Lytechinus pictus: one gene and its partner. The protein of the gene in region 1 interacts with the protein of each later gene in a pairwise test. Links are inferred from orthologs where the notes say so. Each region holds a gene or a part of one and is shown on either strand. Other genes may lie near its edges.

Region 1 (12,735 bases):
GGGTACCCGGTCCCAAAGGAAGTGGGTGCGCCTACCAGCATCATGGTCAATCTCGGGTATTGGTAGCGCCCCTTGAAGTCTCTTTGCGACGCCGTTTAAAGGGCTGCCGTACTTGGATGCAACACAGAAGATTCCCGCTTTAAGCACGGCTTCCGTTTTTTAATTGGTTAAATCTGATGTGACGTCACCAAATCTCAGCAAACCCAAGAGAAGCACCCGGCATTCACTGTGATATCGTCTGCTCCCAAAGGCCTGTATTGTGTTGTATGCACAGATTTGAAGGCACATTATAACCACTGTGTCCAACCGTTACATGTTCATATTGAAACACAAATGCACATTATCATTGGGATATTGCAGTAGATTGCAGTAGTATCATTACAGGCGTGCCTGTGTTTTCCCTTTTTTCACTTCCACATTCTAAAACCCCCAATTATTGTCAAGTGTGATATGCTTCATATATGCTGATGTATATCAAAAGGTGGGGACACATTAAATATCCACCATCAATAATTGGTGGGAGGGTTGTTGACGGACATTATCCTATCGCTTCCTATCGCCTACCCAAGTACCAGACCAGTAAAACTATTATTTTAAGAACTTCCTGAATTGTTTCCAAAATGAAACTTAATTTCAACAACCTTTTTCAATATTTTGAATAACAACATTTGACTCATAGGTCTGGTTTAAGGAAATTAGAAAGTGCCCACACTTGGGTTAATCATTTCCAGTTTCTTGGAAACGTCCAACAAATAGATTCACAATGGGGAAATATATTTAAAATGTCACATGAATTAAAAGATAATTTTATTCTAAATTGTTAATTAGCTCAAGAAATAGAGACATTGCTATGTTTCCCGCTAAACAGAAATCGATCATCATTCATTTACTTTGTTGGCATTGTTTTTATTCTTATTTGGAAAACATTCAATGACAATGTGGACTTTCCGTGAAAGAATATGTATTTGGACTTCAGTATCAATAATCAGAGGTAGAATTCCATTCCATGAAAGAGATGTTAACGATCAAATTGTAGACTTGTGACAATGTATGCAAGGATTTGCTGTCCGACATACTTCGAATAAAGATAGAAACAGAGAGAGAGAAAAAAAAAGAGAGAGAGAACGATTGCGGCCAACATGTTTTGAGACATCTTAATAAAAATGCAGATAATTGCAGTCAACGAAGTCGTAACTCCGTTCGCTTCATCGAGGCGACGTAAATAGAATATATCAAAAGGAAAATCTGATTTACCATGCAATGACGTGGGTGTATTCTTACGATCACTGGTATATACTAAAACCATTCACTCATTTTGGCCTACATGGATGAATTAGTGAATACTCGAGGGGATATATGATAACTGACGTAAGCTTCTAAATATACTGTACTTATGACTTTTTATTATATTAATAACGCAAACAAAGCGTGTTTCATCTCATGACTGTGTACAAAAAAGGGTAAAATGGGGTCTTTTTGGTAGCAAATTTGTCCCTCGAAAGAAAGTTTAAACATTGAAATGTTGCCATCCAGCTTTAAAAAAATAAAACGTAGTATGTCTGTGAAATCGTTGGTTGGATTCTTCTTACCAAATAAGTTGCAATTGTGTACCTAGATTTCGGGTTATAATGTTACGGGTTACGATTTGACTCACCCCCCCCCCCCTGCTCCATTCATTCATTTAGCTGTACAATACAGAGGCAAACACACTCTTTTCTCTCTTTATGGTGATGATGTGTGTACATTTATCCAACTTCATGCAAACTTATATACTTGAAAGAGTTTATCTTTAAGTTTTGATGGATCGGTAGAGGTAAACGTAACGGTAGAGATGTTTAATTTTGATATCCACTTCAGATTCTTTGGTATGAAGGCGGCAAATCATATTCACAATAAGCGCCTTTTATTTGAGCTCTGGAGATTTACCCCCACATATATTGGGGAGATATAGGAAAGAGAGTAAAACGATTAAACACTTGAAAATTCGCCCCTGAAGTGGCTACCAAAATTGATGTATGCTGAGTACATATACACAGGATGCTTACGCAAATCGCGCTACCCTCTCATCCACTGAATTTGCTATTGGATTTCTGGAAGCTAAGGCGGGGCAAAGTGTTTGCATGCTTCACAATAAACATCCATCCATAATTGTCTGTAATAGGTTGCGATAGAAAACAGAAATATGGCCACGTTGGTGGGAACGAAATAAAAACACAAAAAACAAGTGGACAATTCTTAATCTACCCCAGATGATAGCAAAAGAAATATTACATACTTGAAGTGAAGCCATGTCTACTACCCGATATATTGAGAATTTTGATGATGAAAATTGAGCGGCCGTTCCATCTTATTTCGTCTTATATCCGTATATTATGAATACCCCGGAGTCTGTCCGCTCGCCTTGATATGAAGATGTATAAAGCTTGCATTGAATGCATTGGTGATAGTACATTGCCATACCCAACCCCTACATTGAAGACTATTGAGGTGGACAGGTACCTCCCACTGCGCGCATAATGTACAGAGATTGCTAGATGCCTTACCATTACATGGCGCCGCGGTACTTACGTACTAATATTGTTGTAGGATTTACCGATACTCCTAGCATAGTAAAACGTATAAGAAAGGGATGTATGTATCTGTTTTATAATGGAATCTGATTATATATTGAATATGGAATATTTTTTTTTAAAGTGCAAACATACTATGATCTATGTCAGTTTCGTGAGGTTAATAATTGCAAAGGAAAACCAACTAGGTCAATATCATCAATATAGAGATGGATGATCCTTTTTCTGAATATTATAGTACTGTGTAAATTATACACTGCAAAAATACCGGTGTTGATTTAACACCACCCCAGTATCTATATCGGTCCACACCAGAGAAGCGTTTGAAACAACACCAGTTAAGCATCAAATCGATATTGGTTTAACACTAATTGGTGTTGCTTAAATGCCAAATTGGTGTTAGCCTAACGCCAAACCGGTGTTTTTTCAACACCTCTGGTGTGGACCGATATAGATACCATGCTGGTGTTTTTGCAGCGTAGGTGGTGTCAGCATCATAACAATGTGTACTATGCCATTATTGTTTCTCATAAAAAAAAGCCAGAAGATATTATTTCACATAAATACACAATGTGAAATAATATACTGTATACATTTTTTTCTGTAGTCTTAGCGAATATGAGGCCTAATGCAAAATGAAGTTGGTTCGATATTCACCTACTCCATATATTTAGTTTTAATTAAGTGTAATAAAGAGAACTGCATATGAGAAGCCAGTAATCGCAACAACCATGCACAGGCCTGCCGTTGGCCATGGCGTGTCGGCTTCAATTAGATGCGGAAAATATTCCAAGTATGTGCAGCCAGCTTATATGAGGCCCGGTGGTTAATGATATTAGCCTATACTGCTACCCGTCACTTCTATGTAAATATGATATGTATACGTTATTAGTCAGTGTATGTGCATATGAACTAACACACACACACACACACACACACACACACACACACATATATATATATATATATATATATATATATACCGTCATACCTAAAATCAGGAGCCATTTTGACAATTCGGCAATATTGAGATTTTTATATAAGCTCTAAAATAAACTTTAAAAACCCGAAACAGGTTGGCTGAGATGAAGAAATATCAACTATTCTGTTACAAACACGATAAACTATTAAGTATATACCACGAAGGCTTCGTGTTTTTAGGGAAAACAATAATAAAATGTATTTATATAGCACACATCAAAACGCTATAGTTAAGTCTCTATGCACTTTGGATAAAGATATACATGGAAATGAATGAAGATATTCCTCTATAAACAGAAGTAATCATTAGTTAATGAATTTTCTTCATTGTAAAATCGACTTCATTTACTTGACTTTATTTATTAGTGTAATAAGAAAAATATTGTGAATATAGAAGTAGACTTTCTCATGAATATGCAGTCGCAGACGCTCTCACGCACAAAGGCATGCACACCCGCAGTCTCACGCACAGGCACTTTCACCCACATACTCTCTGATAACAACCAACGAATTGAAACTTTGAAGTGAAAAATAATTGCATATTTTTATCGAGTGAAAAACACTAGTCAAAAGTGATAATTCCAACTGAGGTTTGCAAAGAATGTAAAAGAATGTATTTTTTCATTAACCAACATTGATAAAAAAGATGATAAACACTCGAGTTCTGAAAGAAAAAGTTTCCCAAAGTATGTTAGCGCACAAGGAAAATTCCGATTTATGGGGAAAGTATAAATGAAATACTGAGATATATTCGTAATCAGCAGCAACCGCCTATAAAACAAACTATTACAAATATGATAGAAGACATACAAATACGTTCACAATGTCCGATCAGAACATAAGATAACACCTCCAAGTGAACCGTTATTCCTCTCTATTATGATCCTATTGTACAAGGTCATATTCTCTAAAATCTTATTTTATGACACACAAGGTAAAACGATGAAACGAATAAGGATTTGATAAGAATCTATCCATTCTTACCTGAGTCAGGAAGTACAAAAATATTCTCAAGATCTTATTTCACCACACTGTGATGGGTAAAACAATCTTGTAGCAGACGACAAATTGTGTTCCAGTATAAAAAGTAGTAAAATACTTGGAAGATGTCAAACAAAGTGGAAAACTTTCACAGTTGACTAAACTGCAAAAAAGTGATGATGATTGCTTGTTTATGTTTGCTGTAAACCCAAACACCGGGCCCTCCTCCTCGTTCTCAGTCTCATTGACGAGTACGAAGACTGAAGAAACGATGCTGGTTGGTGGCACAAGCAAGCAAGAGTGAAACGCACTGCTTCTCTGCGACAAAAGTATAAACCCCTACTCGGGCGAGCCTCATATCGAATTGAGAAGCTATGACATCAGCAAAGCGCTGGTGTACGCTTCGTTAGAAGCGGACCTGGGACTGCACCATCATACAGGTTTGTGCGTGTAAGCCGCTCGCCTTGACGTCACAAGGGTTCGAGGGTTACCCTCGTATGACGTCAGAATCGACGTTGTCGTACAGTTCTCCGCAAATAGCGGCGCTATAAATAAACTCAGCCCCTTTACTGAGGTAGATGGAGGGAGCGTTGGGAGATGTATACACTTCGTATATGGATATATAGGAGTGTGTGCCTTACAGTGTGCTAGTGTGCGATGCAGATGGCGTTCGCTTCTCTTGATCATTTCTAAGGACAAGTTTTTATTCTAACGAATTGAAAATAAAAATGTTGATGCCGCTATGAAAAATCATTCTTTTTGATCATCAAATAATACATTTTATAATCTTTCATCCCTGAACATCTTTTCACGGAAAACAACATCTTGTATTTGCAAATTCGTTAAAGACCTCAGTAAAACAGAAGAGTATGTTATCAGTCGGTGTTATAATAAAAAAATGAAAGAAAGATATCCTAAAAGCGTAGTGTTCTTGAAAAATTCAGTTTTTTTATTCATAATTTATGTTTGTTTTGATTTTTGGGGGGCAAATAATCCAATCTTAAAGGAATATCAAATTTTCGTTAATAAAACAACTTCAAATATTTGGGATGTACAAATAGAAAATACTGATTTGTCTCTATGTTCACTCTCTAAGAAGTGATTTTTAAGAGTGAGTTTGCGATAAAAAGGAGTAATGTTATCTCAAAATGAGTGAAAATAGTCATGTTAACTCTGGAATCACCCCCGTAATAAGATTCACTTATTTGATATTAATAACAACGCACTTTCCAATACATAACAACAAATAAACTTTGAAGCCTGCAATGTTTTTATGAAATTATTGTATGTATTCGATTGACAGCCAAGATAATTCTGAAGCCATACATTTTAGTTATTGTGTCACCTAGGAATCGTATGGTTTCTATTCTTTCCCTCTTCATAATGTAATGCCTTGTTTTTGTAAGACAATGCACGATTTTCATCTTGCTAATATCATTAATAGTAAACTTTAAATTCAAACTACATCCAGGATTTTACAAATGTTAATATTCTAAAATACAATCATAAAAGGGGGTAAAATGTCTGAAGAGGGAACACAGTTTTGAAATAGTAGATGATCACCCTTGTGTTAGGAACTCCTTATTTCTCCGAGTGTAACCATTTTCGTTCTGAATACAGTATTTTAAAAATATTCATCTCTGGTAATCGCAAAGCATATAGTCACCCTTCGATCATTTCAAATGACGAGATAACATTATAGCTCTATGATATATATCTTTCGTATCTTTTGTTCGTTTACTTTTTCACTATCTTATCTAATGCATCTAATATCTCGTTCACAGTAAACGCTATATTTTAATCCGTAAGGGTGATATTGGACATTAAAAAAAAGGAATGTAATACCGTTGTTAAATAAGAGTCAAATATTACACGAATTATGGCGCCTTTTGAAAACAATCACTGAAGAAAGTGATTATGAAATGGATATCCAATGCATTATATATATCCAGAGCAAGCTTTTACACGAGCCTTATTGTCGTCATCCATCTTTTTGATCTTTCATCATGTTTATAAGTTTCATTTTTAATTATCAATTGTCAGTGCAATTTGTTTCATTTGATGTTTGTTTTAAAACAGATATAGCTATTAATGTGAATTGAAAATATATCTTCTCAGGAAAGAATGTATTATCATAAGAATTTATTTTTCATGTACGGAAAACTCTCGTAAATTCATCTAGCCCATAACTTAATCTCATTCGGTGGTATTGACTGGGATAGTTTAACGATTTGGAGGTAATTCCTTTTAAAAGCAATGTAAAGGGTATTACCCGACATATCTCCGAAAATGCATGTGTTGATTGAATTCGACAAATATCTTAAAACACAATAATTTTGTTTATGTTCATGTTTTATTTTGAGTAATTCAGCTCATATGCCAATAGCTTCGTTTGGAGTTTAATATTCATGACGGCTATGATTACTAAGCTAGTTATGGAAATGAAGCAAAACGAAAAGTTGGTATCTTAAGCGATTATTGTATATATTTTCATCACTTGAATAGGTCAATAAGAATAACGAATGCTTTGCCAGTTTTTCTAATGTCTTGCATGGTCTCATCGTTATATAAAAGTTGTCATATATTTTGAGTATATTAAAAGAAATCCTAGAAATCCAAAAGGGGATCGATTTAATTGAAGACCGAGCGAAAGAAATGATAGCAAATGATTTCTAACGAAGAGACCAATATTGTTTTATTACAAGTTTGATATATTATATTTATTTCTATAATTATTATGAAGTGTTTCGAAACATATACGCCCATGCAGATAAGTCGTTCTTATCAAGAAATTTAAGTTATTCACTGAGAAAGGTACATACAAAAACAATGAAACCATGAACTTTTAACTAGCTGTTCTGTCTTTAATTTAAATGTCTGATCTTATATGGTATCAGATTATTGAAAGATGCTGAAAATGGGAAAAAAGTATTTTCAAGGTAAGAAACTTTATGGATTCAAAATGTTTATATATTCAATAATTCCATTTTTAGAGACCACTATAGCATTCGCCTTAATACAATTTGCCAACACTTTGGCTATTCCCAGGCACCAAAATCAATTTGTAAATCTATCAAACCCGTAAGAATACAAGGAATTCAGGGATTCTAGCAATATAGCCATGAATAATATCATAAACATGTCGAAATATTAAAGGATGAAATAAGAAAAACAAGTATGATATCACAACATGAATGAAATGAAGAATTAAAAAAAGTCTAATGAAAGACAAAAAGTAACATTACCATTCAACATGTCCAACGGCACCCATTCGAACGAAAGGCGAGTCTAGGAGGCGGGCATGGAACAAAATATTGAAGATATCACCAACTGCTTGGAGTTGTAACAAAAAGTGAAAAATGTTTTCGCGGTTGGGCCTTTATATATAATTCAGAGAGCAGTCAATGCATAACGGTATACATTGTGGATAGGAATCTATCAATGCGACTTTCAAATGTTGTATGGTTTCCCTGACAAGTATGAGTTGATAACGACATGGGGGCGTTGGTGTGGTAGAGATTAACGGATGTCTATAGGACGATACACCGTGACGTGATATATTTCCTCATGTTTGTGTAAAGTAGTTGGGGGATCGTAAAACTTTATGAATCGCCCGACTTCAGAATGCGAAATAGTGAATATCATATAACAGGAACATTATGATTTCTCTGTAAAATATACTAATGAATGGATATCTGAAATCATTTATGCCTTTCTATGCGAAATGAAAGGCATAAAACGGCCTTTATATTTCCCCATGCATATAAAGTAGTTGGGGGTATCGTAAGATTTTACGAGGCATAAATCGCCGGATATCTGGATGCGAAATAGTAAATATCATATAACAGGAACAGTATGATTTCTCTGTAAAATGTACTAATGAATGGATTATATGAAAATGAAATCAGTCATGCCTTTGCGAAACGAAAGGTATGATACGGCCTAGTTTGAACAGAATCTGTTTACTTTCCCTATTTTTCTAGCCAGGCCAACACATAATCACATATAACACGTTAACATTTTTGAATATGTGCACTTAGGGCAAGACAAAATTACATGAAGAGAAGACCTAGCATATAGCTCTGCGTGGTTTCTTCATTCAATATTTTTAACAATAATTATGCCAAGGGTGAGAGGGTTGAGCTGATTTTCCAGCTATCTACATGGACATACAATGAAATCTTTTTGCATTGTCATGATAAAACTTGATTTTGATATCAAAATATTTGATTGTTGAATTTTCTACTTCAACTAATATTCCACTTCCCTTTCCAAGATCAAACAGGACAAATAGGCGATAGCCTATACCTATGTTGGAGAGTATATTCATGACATAGATTTCAAATTGTTACATTTCCCCCTCCCTAAATCTATGTTTTTCTGACATAAACTGCATTATCTGAAGAACCATCGCATATTTCATTTGTGTTTTATTCATAATCAAACACCTATCCAATCTTATTCTATTACTTTCCACGAAAGTTGTCATTAATTCTGTTAACTGAAGGCTTGTTTGATTGTGTTGACTAAATTGATTCCTCTTTAATCATAGAAAATGATGTCATCCACAGTACACCTTCATATACTTCTTTTTTGTTGTTGTTATAACCGAACTTTTCAAGCACACGTGAATGGATTTCTGCAAGAAACACATATATTTCATTTTAACCCGTTTAAAACTCTACAGAACTGAAATGTGAAGAAAAATTGTTTGAAATAAATTCAAATAAAACTTGAAAGAACTCATTTTATGACACTATGTTTAAAAAGACACTATATTTTAAAGAACGAGATGTGAATGGCATTTGAGTAATTTGATTTTCAGTTGCGCCGAATACTGGGTATACAATAATTACACTAGAATGTACATCTTAATCATTTCCAAGAAATCATAAATAACATAGAATTATTGCAATATAGCATATGTTCAATGGGGTGTAATTTGCTTAATCCTTTCAAATTTGTTTTATTGAATGTATACTTCTTAACTCATTTTCAATGACATTTTGTTTTTGTTCTTTTCAATTATTACAGTATGTTATTTCTATTTGATGTATTTTGATGCATCAATTGGTGTTACAGCAAACAATTTGTTAATAACTGAAACAAATAGAACTTCATTCCTTACGCTTGTATTGACCTTCCATGGTATTATATCAACGTTAGTCATGCTGCATTGCTCCCATGAAAAATCTTGTAGCCAGGTATTTAGACAAAATCTACCTGGACAAGACTCACAATTTGCTCGCCAGAAGGATATTCATATCTCTCATAATGACCGACTTTTACTTGAAGGTATAGGCAAATCCTTCTCTTAATATTGATGAATAATGGAGTTCAGGACGAGGGAGATTAATTATGTCACACACCAGTTGGAAGACCATCTTGGCTGTGTTGCACATACAGTAGGTAATGATCGAAGCAGCTACATTGAGACAGCTGGTAAATACCTTCAACATATTGCCAGGCACCCTCGTTTTAGACATACCTATACCGTCGGTTTGCACTTGTGGGAAAGTGTGTAGTACATGTATCCTTAAAGCTCTAGAATCGAGTCATATCATGACAAATTATCCAAGGTGACTCGATGAAGCTATTTATCCTGGGTAATAATGCTCAACAGATCCGCTTGTCATCGATGGATATAAGCAAACACATTGGCAGAGGTACGAATGCTCAAACCTTGGGTAACAAATCATCAGAATTATTCCCTTTATCATTTCCTGTATCAGTATTACAAAGGAGGAATATCATCTTCTTGTAAAATACCTGTTATCTGGATTTCCGGGTTTGTCATCTGGTTGAATATGCAGGAGATGAAAATACATTCCTTGAGAATTATATTCTTATAGGCCTGTAGAATGCTTGTTTTTCCGCTTTTAAGTTTTAAACATCCACCATTATTTGCAATGCTAGCTACATTGTGTTCTGAAGAAGAAGAAGAAGAGGTATATCCGTCAAAAAATGCTCCAAATCCATAATGATAAAGAGAAATACCCCAGAAAAGGAATGATCAATGATATTCCTTTGCGAAGAAGAGAAATCCATCACTTCTCTCTCAAACCATGTTTTTTTAAAAATTAACTTTCCTGTATTCGTGAGTTAATTCTTGTCATTAGGTCATCAAACATCTTGAGGCAAATCGCCCTTGGCTCGTTTTATATAAATTAATCACATCGTATTGTATGGAATGATCTCTCTGAGAATAATTTCCATTGCTAAGCTAAGCTACTAGATGAGACTTTTTTTATACACACACGAGCGCTAAGTTAAACCTCCCTTAAAAAGATAGCCGCCTACACACTGAAGGAATCCCGATCCAATCTATCCTCGATACAACTTCCATATATTGGCCTCGGCGCTGATAAGCATCATGTACATCAACATACAAACAACCCTCTCCCACCCTCCCCGCACACATAGACACACACACACACCTCATGCCAAGCACACTATATTCTTAGTATGCATGATTGCATGCAGGAACACTGTTTGACCGGGGCAGTTGAATGCATTGCAGAGGATAAGTGAGTCCACGACTGTGAACGTACTTTCACTTTTTACTACAGTAGACGTACTTTTATTAAGTATGCGGTCTTCTTTGATCCGGGAGCATGCATGGACTGCCTAAGATTGACACAAAGTGGACATATATTAAAAAAATCGAAAAATCTAATCTTGGAATATCGTTGTCTGAGAGTAAACAAATGGACATCATCCCCACTGTAATCCTTCTTTGGATCAGAGTACTTTATAACATGAAGACGATGGAGGGGGGAAAACAAAGTACCATAATTTAAGGACAAAGCAATCGATTAACTTCTTGCTTTTATGTAGATGAATTCTGCGAATTTGAAAAGAACATCATGCAAGATTAAATATAATTTGATTTCTCAATATATCGCGGAGTCAATCTAAATAGCCTACTAAACTAAGACACAAAACAGGCAAAAAGCAAATAACCTGTAGCAAGTTTACAAAATAATAGCTTTACGTGCTGCAAAACATCTTACAGGTTGCAAACAGTTCACTTAAGGTATTTTAAAATACACGGGATGATTCACGACAACCCGAGACAAAAGGGCACTTGAAAAAAAAAGTCACATGCCTATAACAAAATATTTGATCGCAGCAATCACGGCATCTGTGCATTAATTAACCAAGCCAATTTGACTGAATGCCTCACCCGAACGCCTGGTTCCGTTTCGGTCCACTGTTGCCCACTCTTCTTCAGACTCCTTGTTTAAGAATGTTCCAAACTTCAGTTGTAACGGTGGAAGTAACACGTGCATGGAGCTCGCCATATACGGGCGGAACCTGGCCCACTTCCAAGATCCGATATTTTGAGGACAAATCAGCAGCCAACTACAGGACAGTGCTCGGCTAGGATAATCCAGCTTGCCTCGCCTGAGAGAGGGAGAGAAAGTGCGAGAGGGGGTTTCGAATCTCCTCCCGTACTGAGCCGCACGGCGAAGCTACGAAGGAACCCTCTGAACCACACAACACAGACTGATACAATGGTATCGCAGTGCTAACGGTATGGGGCTCACTTGTAACTTGCCTTGAGAGCGGGCTCGCGAACAACGACGCTTCTCCCAAGCTCATCGGCTTGCAACTCCGGACCTATATCAATACATCGCTGTGTATATGTATAGAAGGCAATTCATCGCTGTGGTTGACGAGAAAAAAATACGAAGACCCCCCGAAAGGCGCCCCGATCGACGTCATCGTGAGCGAGAATTGTCGTCATGCATTCCTTAATATCGCCGCCAGCCAATCAGCGCGCACCGATCTAATTGCTTCTCCCGTGCACGACGACCAGACGGGATTGGAGCTAAACGACGAAGTGTGACGTCACATTGCCTGCTTTCGACCATGCAGCAATGTGAGTAATTATTCAACGTCGCACTGGCTAAATGCGGCCTGGATTGCATTAGCATGTTATTAGTGGCTAAATCTGGTGTCTGTTCGTCCCAATCTGAACTAATCATGAAAGAAACATCTCTCTTCATCTACCCCTCCAAAAATAACACGGTGTGCAAGAATAGCTAATAGGTGATACACACATACCTAGCACCTGTTAGAAGAAATAATGACCGGTCAGATAGAACAAACCAAATTATAGCTACTAATGAAAAACTGCTAAAAACAAGAGAAAATACAAATCCCTATCCCCGCTTATTCAATATCTACGTTAGATTTC
Region 2 (13,064 bases), on another chromosome or scaffold:
TGCTCTCAGCCAATCAGATGCAGGATTTCAGTAGCTTATAACAGTTATCAGTGAAAATCACCATTTGTTTCATTGAATGCTCCCAGAATCTTGCAGTTCAAAAGAAATAATCAAAAGAATAATCATAATTTTATCAGTTGATTTAAAAAACACAGTGAAAGCATTTCCAACTTTACAGTTTATAAAAAAAGGGTCAAACTTGAGTTTTAATAGTCAGTTATTTAATTTCTAAATATTACTTTTTTCCTTGTATATTTCATTGTTTTTATGACTGAATGTGATACAGAATTTTTAATATCACTGAATTTGTAGGAGTAAATATATACTTCAAATGGCTTAATATGTCAAATTAGCAATATTTTGTTACATAAATTGCAATATATGCAAATTTTGTGCAAAGAAAGGGTCAAATTGGCATACCCTATTGGTTTAATTAACAAGTAGCAGCAATTTACTCACCTGCCTTGCATCAGCAATGAGACCAGCAACAGCCTGTCAAATAAAGTAAAGAGGAGACATGTAATCATACTTTTCAAAGTTGACTTAAAATCTATAAAAAAGAAACACCCTTTCAAATATACATAAGTAGCGAATTCCAATTTCAAGGGTGTATATAAGGCATAGCATACATATTCTATATAAAGAATAGCTCAGATGGAATCTATTGCTGGCAGCAAAAGGCAATTCTTGCTTTTAAAAAATGTCAAAAATTACAAATTGCTAATTAACCATAGAAAATAGAGATTGCTTTCGATAAAATATGTCATTAGAATGGGAAGATGTTGGAAAAAAGCCCCCATTCAGAAATATTATTTGTTTCTCTTGATCAGTGTTGGTAGTTTCGTTTTGCTTAGTTGTATTTTCTTAGCTCAAATATCAAAAGAATCAATTATACAAAAGCCTCGGATTGGACTAAAGCTTGATTGATCTGTATTCAATAAAGGCCAGATGTAGCTTACCATTCCAACATGCCTGTCGACTGTAAATATTCTCTTGTTGGAGCCCTGCTCATAAAGTTTTGATGTGACTAACTTTTCGACGCCAAAGACAATGCCATCTTTGCATCGTAGACCTACGGCCGTGCCACTGTTCTCGACAGCTTTGATGGCATACTCCACCTGGAACACCCTCCCATCTGGAGAGAACTGTGAAGCTGATAAATCATACTGAGGACAAAAGAATGAAAATACGGAGAAACATTTAAAAACTAAAATTGTAATTTAACGTAGGATCAGGGGCCCGTTGCAGAAAGCGTTGCACCGATCGCAACTCTAAAAATCATGCGCAACTTGATTTTCAACCAATCAACAGCGCGCATTTGGGACTTGCGATTTATTTTTTAACTTGTGTTTAAATGCAACTCTTCTGCAACGGACCCCAGCTCAGCTTGTTGAATTCATGTACAAGAAACCGAAGAATAGTAAGAGTCCATGATATGAATTAGATCTATAACATTGATACAAGCATGCAAATTAAATTCCAAAAATCAAAGTAACTTGTTAGATCTACATGTGTACTAAATTTAAAAAGTCATCATAAATAAGTTGCAGGAAGTTGTGGAAATCAGGAGGTAAAAAAATTGGTGAGTTAAAAATCTTGTCATTGAAAGTATCATTAGACTCCACACATAACGAAGTTAGTAGTATTTGAATGTATACGAAGTATACATTCAAATAGAGAAAAGCCCCCCAAAAAGCAATTTCAAGCAAAAGTAGGCCCTAAATTATTTTTAAGCAAAAGTAAATTATTTTAAAAAAAATTCAGTATTTTTTATTGCCCATGTTGCATCTCTTTTCGTTGAGAAATCAGTGAATTGTATTGTGAGTAAGCTTGTAACCGATTTTGCAATCGGCAACCGATTCCATTCGATTTCACCACAATCGGCAATCACTTGCCGATCTTCGATCATGCCCCTTGAAGGAAAAAATCGAAAATAAAAAATCGGCGTAGATCTGGTTACAGTGCGTGATCGCTCAGAACATATTTCAAGATTGTTTTTGAGGTGCTAGCTATTTAGAGGTCGCATTATTCAGGGAGAAAGACGCGGTATTATCTATGGCGATGTTTAAGAGGATAGATATCTTCTCTTCCGCAGTTCCGCTTCTCTTCCAACTCGTGGTGATAGCGGATGCCGCCGTGAACTTTGAAAGGTCGTATTACCGACGGAGCTCACTGCGTTACTCTCTTACATCGTTTATGATTATATACATTTCATTTTCAACCTCGTGGTGATAGCGGATGCCGCCGTGAACTTTGAAAGGTCGTATTACCGACGGAGCTCACTGCGTTACTCTCTTACATCGTTTATGATTATATACATTTCATTTTCAACCTCGTGGTGATAGCGGATGCCGCCGTGAACTTTGAAAGGTCGTATTACCGACGGAGCTCACTGCGCTACTCTCTTACCCCCTTTATAATGATATAAATCTTCTCTTCAACCTCGTGGTGATAGCGGACCCCGCCATAAACTTTCAAAGACTGTACTATTGACGGAGCTTATTGCGTTGCTCTCTTACATCGTTTATGATGATATTCATTTTATTTTCAACCTCGTGGTGATAGCGGAAGCCGCCGTGAACTTTGAAAGGTCGTATTACCGACGGAGCTCACTGCGCTACTCTCTTACCCCCTTTATAATGATATAAATCTTCTCTTCAACCTCGTGGTGATAGCGGACCCCGCCATAAACTTTTAAAGACTGTACGATTGACGGAGCTTATTGCGTTACTCTCTTACATCGTTTATGATGATATACATTTTATTTTCAACCTCGTGGTGATAGCGGAAGCCGCCGTGAACTGTGAAAGGTCGTATTACCGACGGAGCTCACTGCGTTACTCTCTTACATCGTTTATGATGATATACATTTTATTTTCAACCTCGTGGTGATAGCGGATGCCGCCGTGAACTTTGAAAGGTCGTATTACCGACGGAGCTCACTGCGCTACTCTCTTACCCCCTTTATAATGATATAAATCTTCTCTTCAACCTCGTGGTGATAGCGGACCCCGCCATAAACTTTTAAAGACTGTACTATTGACGGAGCTTATTGCGTTACTCTCTTACATCGTTTATGATGATATACATTTTTTTTTCAACCTCGTGGTGATAGCGGATGCCGCCGTGAACTTTGAAAGGTCGTACTATTGACGGAGCTCATTGCGTTACTCTCTTACATCGTTTATGATGATTTACATTTTATTTTCAACCTCGTGGTGATAGCGGACCCCGCCATAAACTTTTAAAGATCGTGCTACTGACGGAGCTTATTGTGTTACTCTCTTACATCGTTTAAGATGATATACATTTTATTTTCAACCTCGTGGTGATAGCGGATGCCGCCGTGAACTTTGAAAGGTCGTATTACCGACGGAGCTCACTGCGTTACTCTCTTACATCGTTTATGATGATTTACATTTTATTTTCAACCTCGTGGTGATAGCGGACCCCGCCGTGAACTTTTAAAGATCGTGCTACTGACGGAGCTTATTGCGTTACTCTCTTACATCGTTTAAGATGATATACATTTTATTTTCAACCTCGTGGTGATAGCGGATGCCGCCGTGAACTTTGAAAGGTCGTATTACCGACGGAGCTCACTGCGTTACTCTCTTACATCGTTTATGATGATTTACATTTTATTTTCAACCTCGTGGTGATAGCGGACCCCGCCGTGAACTTTTAAAGATCGTGCTACTGACGGAGCTTATTGCGTTACTCTCTTACATCGTTTATGATGATATACATTTTATTTTCAACCTCGTGGTGATAGCGGATGCCGCCGTGAAATTTGAAAGGTCGTATTACCGACGGAGCTCACTGCGTTACTCTCTTACATCGTTTATGATGATATACATTTTATTTTCAACCTCGTGGTGATAGCGGACCCCGCCATAAACTTTTAAAAACTGTACTATTGACGGAGCTTATTGCGTTACTCTCTTACATCGTTTATGATGATATTCATTTTATTTTCAACCTCGTGGTGATAGCGGACACCGCCGTGAACTTCAAATTGATTTGAAAACGCTAGCTACCCAAAACATTTTAATAACATATTTCAAATCATCGTGCGTGCTTGCGTCTTCTACTTCATTTTAATTGCACTTGCGACTAGATGATGCGTCGTAAGAGATCATTCCAATAATTCTAAATCGCTAGCACCTAAAAATACTTCTAAAAGATGTCCCGCCGATCGTTCATTAACCTGTGATCTATGAGAAATATTTTCATTTTATTTTCCTTTGCGCCTTTGCTCGGAAGATGCGTCTTTCGTTTATCTTTCTAATAAAAATCACTCGGTTTATTTTAAAGCAATAACACCTCAAAACCCCTGGCTTTAAAACGATCGCGCATGTTGGCGACTTCCATCCCAATGCATTCGTCTTTGTGACTTTGTCAGGAAGATGCGCGCGACCGCGAACAACATTTTGATGTATTCCTTTGTTTTTAAACATCGCCGATTCGATTTTCGATTCGATTTCGATTTTAGAAGCTTAACTGCCGATCCGATTTTCGATCTGATTTTTGATCCGATTTACAACATTAATTGTGAGGATAATACCACCTATTTATTTTCTCGTAGGATCAGGGCCCTTATTAATTTCAGTGATAAAAAACTGATATTATCACTGAAATTAATAAGGGCCCTGATCCTACGAGAAAATAAACAGGTGGGACCGAAATAAGGAGACACTGAATACATCGTGCACTAGTTCAAGGTCGATTCTTGCTTCTTTGTTTATTCTAGGTGATGAAAACATTAATTAACTTTTAAAATCATATATAGATCGACTCACCCCTGCTCCTATCGAGCTCATAGTGATGTTAGTGCTACAAAATCTGGATAAAACGACGTCAGTTTTGTTCGCAGAATGTAGAATCGGCTCAGAAAATGCTAGTCACGTTACAACAGATCGACAGAGGGCGCAAGGCCAGTGGGCGAGATACGGTACCGGTATATCTAGGCGACTTTTTTGCTCGAAACGGGCTCGAAATGAGTGCATTTTTCCCAGTTTATGAATAATTTTCTGTCTGACATGCACTTAAAAATGTTACGTAACTTCGAAACCGCGTCCCAGAGACTTGAAAAACAGTCATGCAAGACTTGAAAAATAGTCATGAGGTGTCTTGGGACGATATTTCGCGCTACAGATTTACAGTGAAAAAAATTAGGGGGGCTATAGGTTTAGGCAAAATTCACTTAGTTTTTATTTTTATGAAATTTCCCCGAATTTGAATTAAAAAATGTTTTGCTCATGTAACTAAGAAAACTGGGATTATAATTTACACCAAGTCCACAAAGCTCAACTATATGTCTCATCTCATACTTTTGTTTCATCTCTTTCCAACCATCGTTTCATTGTCAAATCTTATCTCACAATCTGCGTCATCCCTGTGGCTCGTTCCTCGTTTCTCATTATTCCAAACTCGCATCTCAAAGCTCGTCTTGTACCGTCCGTGATTACACCCTCTTTTGAAAGAAAAAAAAAAACCCGGACTGTAAGGCATTGGAATAGAGGAAACCTATAATGGAAATTGGACTTGAGAGTAAAAAAAAATCACGACTAAGAAAAAAGGGGGATATAGGGATATATATATTCCCCCTTACTCCGTGTCTGGCCCCTCAAAAAAAAATTTGACTTATTTTTGGGCGCCATTTATATACACAAAGCTCACCTAAATATGGTCCGGTCCGGGCTAAAATATGTATAGCTTAATAAGTAGAATTTACTAAGCAAAATGCCGAAAATTTCATCCGCAAAATCGGATAACAAAGTTATTGAATTTTAAGTTTAGCAATATTTTGTGAAAACAGTCGTCATGAATATTCATTAGGTGGGCTGATGATGTCACATCCCCACTTGTTCTTTTGTATTTTATTATATGAAATTAGGTTTATTGAATTGTTTTCCTCCAAGAACTAGAAAAATTGGATTGACAACTGATTTAGTGCATTAGATATTTATTGCTGCAACTTATTTCATTATAAGGGAAACATATTATTCACAAAAGTATGAAATAATGAAAAAATTATGATTTTATGTAATAACATAAGAAAACGGAAAGTGGGGATGTGACATCATCAGCCCACCTAATGAATATTCATGACGACTGTTTTCACAAAATATTGCTAAAGTTTAAACTTCAATAACTTTATTATTTTTTATCCGATTTTGATGAAACTTTCGGCATTTTGCTCAGTGAATTATACTCTATGTATTAAGATATAAATATTTTCAGCCCGGACCATCCCTTTAAGAAGTCCACTATGACGTATCCTTGATTTTCATTTAAAAAAAAAATTCATTTATCCATCATAACAACAGGGCTAAAATCATGTATCAGAACATAATTATGAGGGAGCACAATTCGCAGTGCCGTCAAAAACTAAACAAGTGGAACGCCTCTGGCAGTCTCGCCTGCATTACGCGATTTAATATAGCAGCGGTGCTACAGAAAACTACTATAAAATAATCATTCACTAAAACACCATTCATATAATGACATAATAACCACGTTCATTGACCATAGATGACATTTGAACGGTGACTTAAGACTTGTCAACTACACCCATGTCCACATTTCATTCACTCTGTCCATAAACTTTCAATTAACTGACCTTTGACCTTGGTTTTGTGACCTGAAAACTCAGGAAGGATGTTCACTAATACTTGATTAACCTTATGTCCAAGTTTCATGAACTAGATCCATAAATTTTCAAAGTTATGATAGTAATTCAACAAATACCCCCAACTTGACCAAAGTTCATTGACCCTAGATGACCTTTGACCTTGGTCATGTGACCTGAAACTCGTGCAGGATGTTCACTAATACTTGATTAACCTTATGTCAAAGTTTCATGAACTAGGTCCATATACTTTCTCAGTTATGATGTCATTTCAAAACCAGAACCTTGGGTGAAGATTTGATGTTGTTGACGCCGCCGCCGCCGTCGGAAAAGCGGCGCCTATAGTCTCGCTCTGCTATGCAGGCGAGACAAAAACTACACTGTCCTGAAAAAAATATTTAAATACAAGACATTTTTCTCAAGCCACTTCATAAACTGACCAAGTCCGGGACCAAGTCATTGTCCTTTGAGAACATTACCGACCGTCAAAAGAACCAGAAATCGGAGAAAGAAATGCAAGACAATTCTTCTTTGTTACCTAGTCAGTTTACAAGTACCGGTAATTAAATATTTATTTATTTCCGTTTTATTTCAGCAGGGTAGCCCTTTCAGTTACAAAACTGCTCTACCAAGGGGCCCTGCACGATAAAAAACAAATACATATAAATAACAATTTACACACAAAAAACTTAAAACTATATACTTAACTACAAATATTTACTTAAGTAAAATCACATTAAATTAAAATTCAAAAACTAAAATCACATTCAAGCAGAGTATAAGACATAAAAACAAGCAGGATTTTAACAATGTGGTAAAAAGCTAATGCCAAACACTCTACAAGTTTCTCTCGTTTTACTTAGGTCAGAACCAACCAAAAATCGGGAGGATTTCTCCCTTTGATGAAAATGCAAGGTCTTTACACGGGATGGTTTTCCAACTCTTCACCAAGTGATCTAAACATAATTTAAATGAGAGAGAGAGAGAAGGGGGAGGGGACACATGATCTCATTAGCATTTTAAGTTACCAATTAAAGAGAGGGGGGTGGGAATGGATGGAGGGAGGGGAGAAGGCAGAAAGACAGGGGGAGAGAGACAGATAACGATGGGAAAGGAGAAGGGAGACCGAGTACACATACATTTTTTTTAATACTGTTTTTATTATGATTTCATGAACAAATAGTTACATAACATTTCAATTTAACATTTCAAATCACATATAATACTTTACATTTTATATTTTTACTTTTTTTTCACTAACTTAATATAAAAATGAATCATATATATCTTAAAAGAAAACAATGAAATCAGTTACACATACACCCTCACACACACACACAACAAGAGTGGAATACATGATAAGAAAAAAAAACATTTTTTTAATAGATACATTTATTTAAAAAATCAATATCTGGATGTAATTTAAGAAACAACAAAAAAGAAACAAACAAGATATTTTCCTTGTCATATGAAAATTTATTATAAATACACATTCAAGTATCTCATAAATCAATTATAACCAGTACCCAAACATAATGAAAAACTTCATTGACAACAACAAAAATATACTATTTTGTATTATTACATGTAGCTGACATCCGTCTTTCAAATGCAAGAAATTTGAGAAATAAAAAAGAAAATGTTTCCATATGTATTTCAGATGTCATTAATCCAAATGAATTATTGTTCATCAATTAATAATAAATGCATGATACGATACATTTACAATTAAATCTCGTACAAGGGCATTATGAATTTGCATTCAATTCTTTTTGTTTGCATCGCATCCTGAAGATTTACACTACACGTTGACAAGTTTAATTTAACATAAGACCTTGTTAAAATTTACATTCTACACGCCTGAAGATACCATTTTAAGAGTGAGAATACCAGTACTTAAATACCTTGATCCTTGTAGAAGAAATCCCTAAAGAAGCTCTTGCAACGAGCTAAACTGGGATATTAAGTTAAAAGGATATCACTTTGCATGCGTTATGTGTTGCTCCGTGTATGACCCAGAGACCTCTAAAAGCTTTCAAGATGGAAGAATGTCTTTGCTACTGAGTCAGTTGACAGGTACCAGTATTTAGACATAAAAGAGTAGGAGTTTAACAGTGTGGCAAATAGCTGTTAATGAATTCTTAAAAAAAAAAATATTTCCACTGTTTCCAGATGAAAATCAGAAAAGCACGAGTCCCTTTTCTAAGAATATCAATCTGCAAGTTGAAACTTTTATATTGATATACCGATAGCCGTTCACCTTGTAAGCAATATGGAACTTAGAACTAAAAATCCCTCGCTGTGTATTATAATTTCTTATAATGATTTCTCAATCTGTTTACAGCAATTTGCCATAGTATGCAAATTACAAAAAAAAAATAATTTAAATAAATTTGCTAGTCAGAGAAATGAGGCCCAAAATATCTCCTGAACATAAAAAGCCCTGTCGAATCACAAAGCAATATAAGAAATGTCTTGCGTTACCATTACCATAAAAAGGAACAAGAAATAAAACAGAATTATAACTATAAGATCTCAACATCCTGCAAATGACCTTCATTCACATACAACTGTACTTGTATGCATCATGGATTCATTACACTTCATACGGCATAGAGACTTGGAAGAAAACATTCTATTCACTGTGAAAGTCCAAATGGACAACCACAGTCACTTTGTAAAAAAAAAACCATTCACCTCTCACTCTCTTCAACAAGGACATATATTTTGGAATATCCAAATATGTACCCATAATTTACCCCTTATTTTATATAAAAAGATGTATCGCACTAGAATCCAAATTGCACTTTTCATCAGACCTAGTACAATTTTCATTCTATTAAAACTCGCTAACTTTTGAAAGATATTTCATGTAATCATCAATATCTAGGTCTTCACATGGTCAAATGGATATCATTGAGAAAACTAAAAGGTACCGTACAGGTACATGTTCACGGGCGCATTGCAGAAAGAGTTGCAATCAATCGCAACTATAAAAATCATGCGCAACTTGATTTTCAACCAGCGTGCATTTGGAACTTGCGATTGATTTTTTGGCTTACGTAACGTTTAAACGCAACTGTTTCTGCATCGGGCCCCAGTATTGTTTAAACAAAGGAAAATTTTTGTTTTAAAGGAAGAATTAGCAGTACTACAATTTATAGTCGGTGCTGTGTTTCAGTCTGCACTCTCCATTATTACTACATGTAGAACTGTTGCTAGGATAGCACCGTGAGCATCCAGGGAGGACTGCATGTGCACTACTGACCTCAGAGCCAGGCCTCCATTCTGAAGCATATTTATAACTATAAGGCTGAAGCCCTATTTAAAACTATTTTAATTAAGCAAGACACTGAGTAAAATATTTAAAATTATGGCGGAGGTATCAAATTGAATACCAGCCCAGGGCCCTGTTGCATAAAACTTACTACAAATATGGTAAAATTGCCCTCCAATGGTAACTACATGTACCATGGTAACACTGATCAGCAGCTAATCAAAATCAATGATTCTACATGTATGATGCAAGTTAAAATCGCATGGCCAAGTTACCATAATGATTACTGCGGCAGCCCGAACACGTACTGTGTACAGTGTACTCGACACTGTCTTAAGACGTGTCGAGGTCCCCGGGGCAACCATAATGAAGACTTTTATGCAATGAGCCCCTGGTCAATACGTTTACACAATTATAATAATATCATGACATTCATTACAGGAGAGGCCTGAAAGGTAAATTACATTCATAACTAAGAATAAGGAAGCATCTTGGAATTTTATTAGAAAGACAGCCCATTCTAGCCTAGAGCCCTACAAAAAAATTTCTTGGAAAAGAACTTGATATTTATACTGGAAAACAAACAGTTCAAAGCAAGCAAAGGGGGATGGTGAAAGAAAGACGGCTATCTTCTAAAATTGTACATTGCGAGGAAAGAAGAGGAAGTACCTTTTGGAATTTTGTTTCTTTCTTTTCGTTTGAAAATATTGAATTCTAAAAAAGAGTTGACACAATAAGCGTTAAGCAATGCATTTTCCGATCCGGTGAGTGAGGCTATGAAACATATTTCATTGGAGATTCAGTAAGCTATTTCTTGGAGAACACAGTCGCACTTGAGAGCAGCTGCTGATTTCATCAACACTTTCCGCCCGACCAAGTTGTCAGATCTGCCAACTTCCCTTGATAATGATTGGCTGAGAAGCACAGTTCCTATGGCAACTGTCGGACATAACGGATAGAACATTTCGACAAGTCCTTTCATGAAACACTAACGTCATCCATCAGCATTAAGCCTCTTCATGACATAATAAACCCCTCAGAGTCTGTAATCAAATGCATCTCATCCTCGGCCATCTTGTTACCAGTCCCACATATCCAATCTTCTGTCATGTTGTTGGAGAGGCGGCATCAAGCAACCCAAGGTATCCAAGTACCATGGTACAGTGAGATGGCAGGTAGATGTAGGTGGTGTAGGCAGCAGTTAGAATTGTCAGCACGATGATTGAATCTGAGGTTCCATCGTTAAGGAAAACAATCAGTCTTGTGGGAATCAGGAAATTTAATGAAAACAGGCATCAAATTTAATTATTTTTAGGGTAATTAAAGCCTCTCCGTGCACCGAGATCTTCTTTAGTATGCCACCCCTCTTATTTTGATAACAACTATCACCCCTTCTTTCAAAATGGTAGGCCTATGATATGTAATTTAAACTCCAATTTGATACTGGTCAACTATTGGTAACTTGCATCAAACAGCAGATTGGAACACTTTGATTGCAGAGTAGGGGCTTCTCAAACCGTCATCCAAGCAAACTTGGCTGCTAATATTCGGACAGTAAGGACCAAATGAGAAGCAAGCAAGTCAAACTATGACTGCACTAAAGTCCTTCTTTTGCTGGATCTTTTTCCAAATGCTGTAACATTCAAGGATTAATATCAAATGTCACAAGACATCCTTCTTTAACACTGCCAATAATTCAAAAAACCAATACGGTCAGAGTAACAGATGAGCGATACAGCAATTGATTTGCTGATGGCGAACTAACAGACTGGTTGCATATTAAACTTACAGGATGGGGGTCTGATATCCAGACACTTATAAGCAGATAAATACATCATCTTTGCTCAAGACTTTTTTCAAAATTCATATCTCATGCATTTAAATAACAAAAATAATTGTGAAATTCGAGCTCTTTAATAATTGTTGTGTATTTTATAAATAATTTGATGAAATATTGATCGCAAAGTTCCTGAATTTGCCATTTTGTCTGGACAAACAAATACAATCAGGTATATGCCGTAAAACAGTTAGATCAACTAACAAAGTACTAACGACTAAGTATTAGGTTAAAAACAATCTTTTTTTTTTTAGAATTAAAAATAGTTGCCGATGTATGTTTGTTCCGCCAAGTAAAATATCATCTCTGGTAATTACTGGCCTTTAAAGTCTATTTAATCAATAAAAGAAATTAAACTTAATACTGACAGCCTTAACTCTTAAGTCAAGTTCAAGTTAAGTTATTAACCCAGCCATGCCAACTGTGCACCACATACCGTGGCGCCCGCGTGAGAGACCGGCAGTGGCAGACTGGATTTCCAGTGCAGTGAGAGTTGCAAATTTCCCACCACCACATAATTATAAATGTGTGGGACAATGCATTTTTTATGCTTGTTGAAAAGGATACTGAAAGTATATCTTTCTGCTGGTTCGAGCATATAAACAGCAGTCACAAGGGTGTATTGAGTATATAACCAACAAATGTACTCTTTCAAACGACGAAACACTTCCATTATAGACTTCTTGTAAATTTAGTGCCGGTAAATTACTTCTCTCCAAAACGGCGCGTTGCTTGCTAGTTGTTTACGTTGTTTGTTTTGTTTTATTCTATTTCAGAACCACGCCCTTGCAAGCATGCTGCGCGTGCGCCACAGTATGATTGAATGGATGTATTCTATTTCCACCCCCCCCCCAAAAAAAAAAGGGGACATAAAACATACCGGGGGAAAAAAGCCTCGGGGGAAAAATCTAGGAGTGGCTTTTATATAAGGGAGGGGCAATTAAGTAACAACACGAGCGCTTCTAGTTTCTACTCATGTAGATCGACCTAAATAGTGTCAACTTGATTTAAGTGCCAATATTATATAGACACTATTTTGAGGATCGTGCCACATCTCAGACCTCGTTTGTTCTAAATTATTCATGTAAGAACTTTATTTGATGAAAGATCGGATGTTAATAAATCCTCCCCGGCTCTGGATATATTTTATTTATAATACTGATAATAAGTTTACTATGCATATCAAATGTTGGGAATTTATTATAAAAATATTTTTCCCCCTTTTTTTTTTGTCTTCTTCCTGACATATCTCCTCTAGGTTCATCTTTTCTTCTTCTTCTCTCCTACCCTTCCTTCTATTTCTCTTTGGTCGATCT

Evidence for each region.
Region 2: the proteins of nuclear receptor subfamily 4 group A member 2-like (region 1) and proteasome subunit alpha type-3-like interact in a two-hybrid assay, tested with the Caenorhabditis elegans proteins (2 studies listed by BioGRID). The link is inferred for Lytechinus pictus from reciprocal best matches to the Caenorhabditis elegans genes nhr-6 and pas-7.

The regions. Positions count from the first base shown.
Region 1 is NC_087245.1:17,375,192-17,387,926, reverse strand, and holds the start of nuclear receptor subfamily 4 group A member 2-like, read right to left. Parts: upstream 4,864-12,735; 5' UTR 4,536-4,863; intron 253-4,535; 5' UTR 45-252; coding exon 1-44. UniProt on the Caenorhabditis elegans protein: Transcriptional activator that induces gene expression by binding to the NGFI-B response element (NBRE) 5'-AAAGGTCA-3'. Required for proper morphogenesis of the spermatheca and the spermatheca-uterine valve formation.
Region 2 is NC_087251.1:44,833,235-44,846,298, reverse strand, and holds the start of proteasome subunit alpha type-3-like, read right to left. Parts: upstream 5,078-13,064; 5' UTR 4,824-5,077; coding exon 4,803-4,823; intron 1,167-4,802; coding exon 960-1,166; intron 493-959; coding exon 460-492; intron 1-459.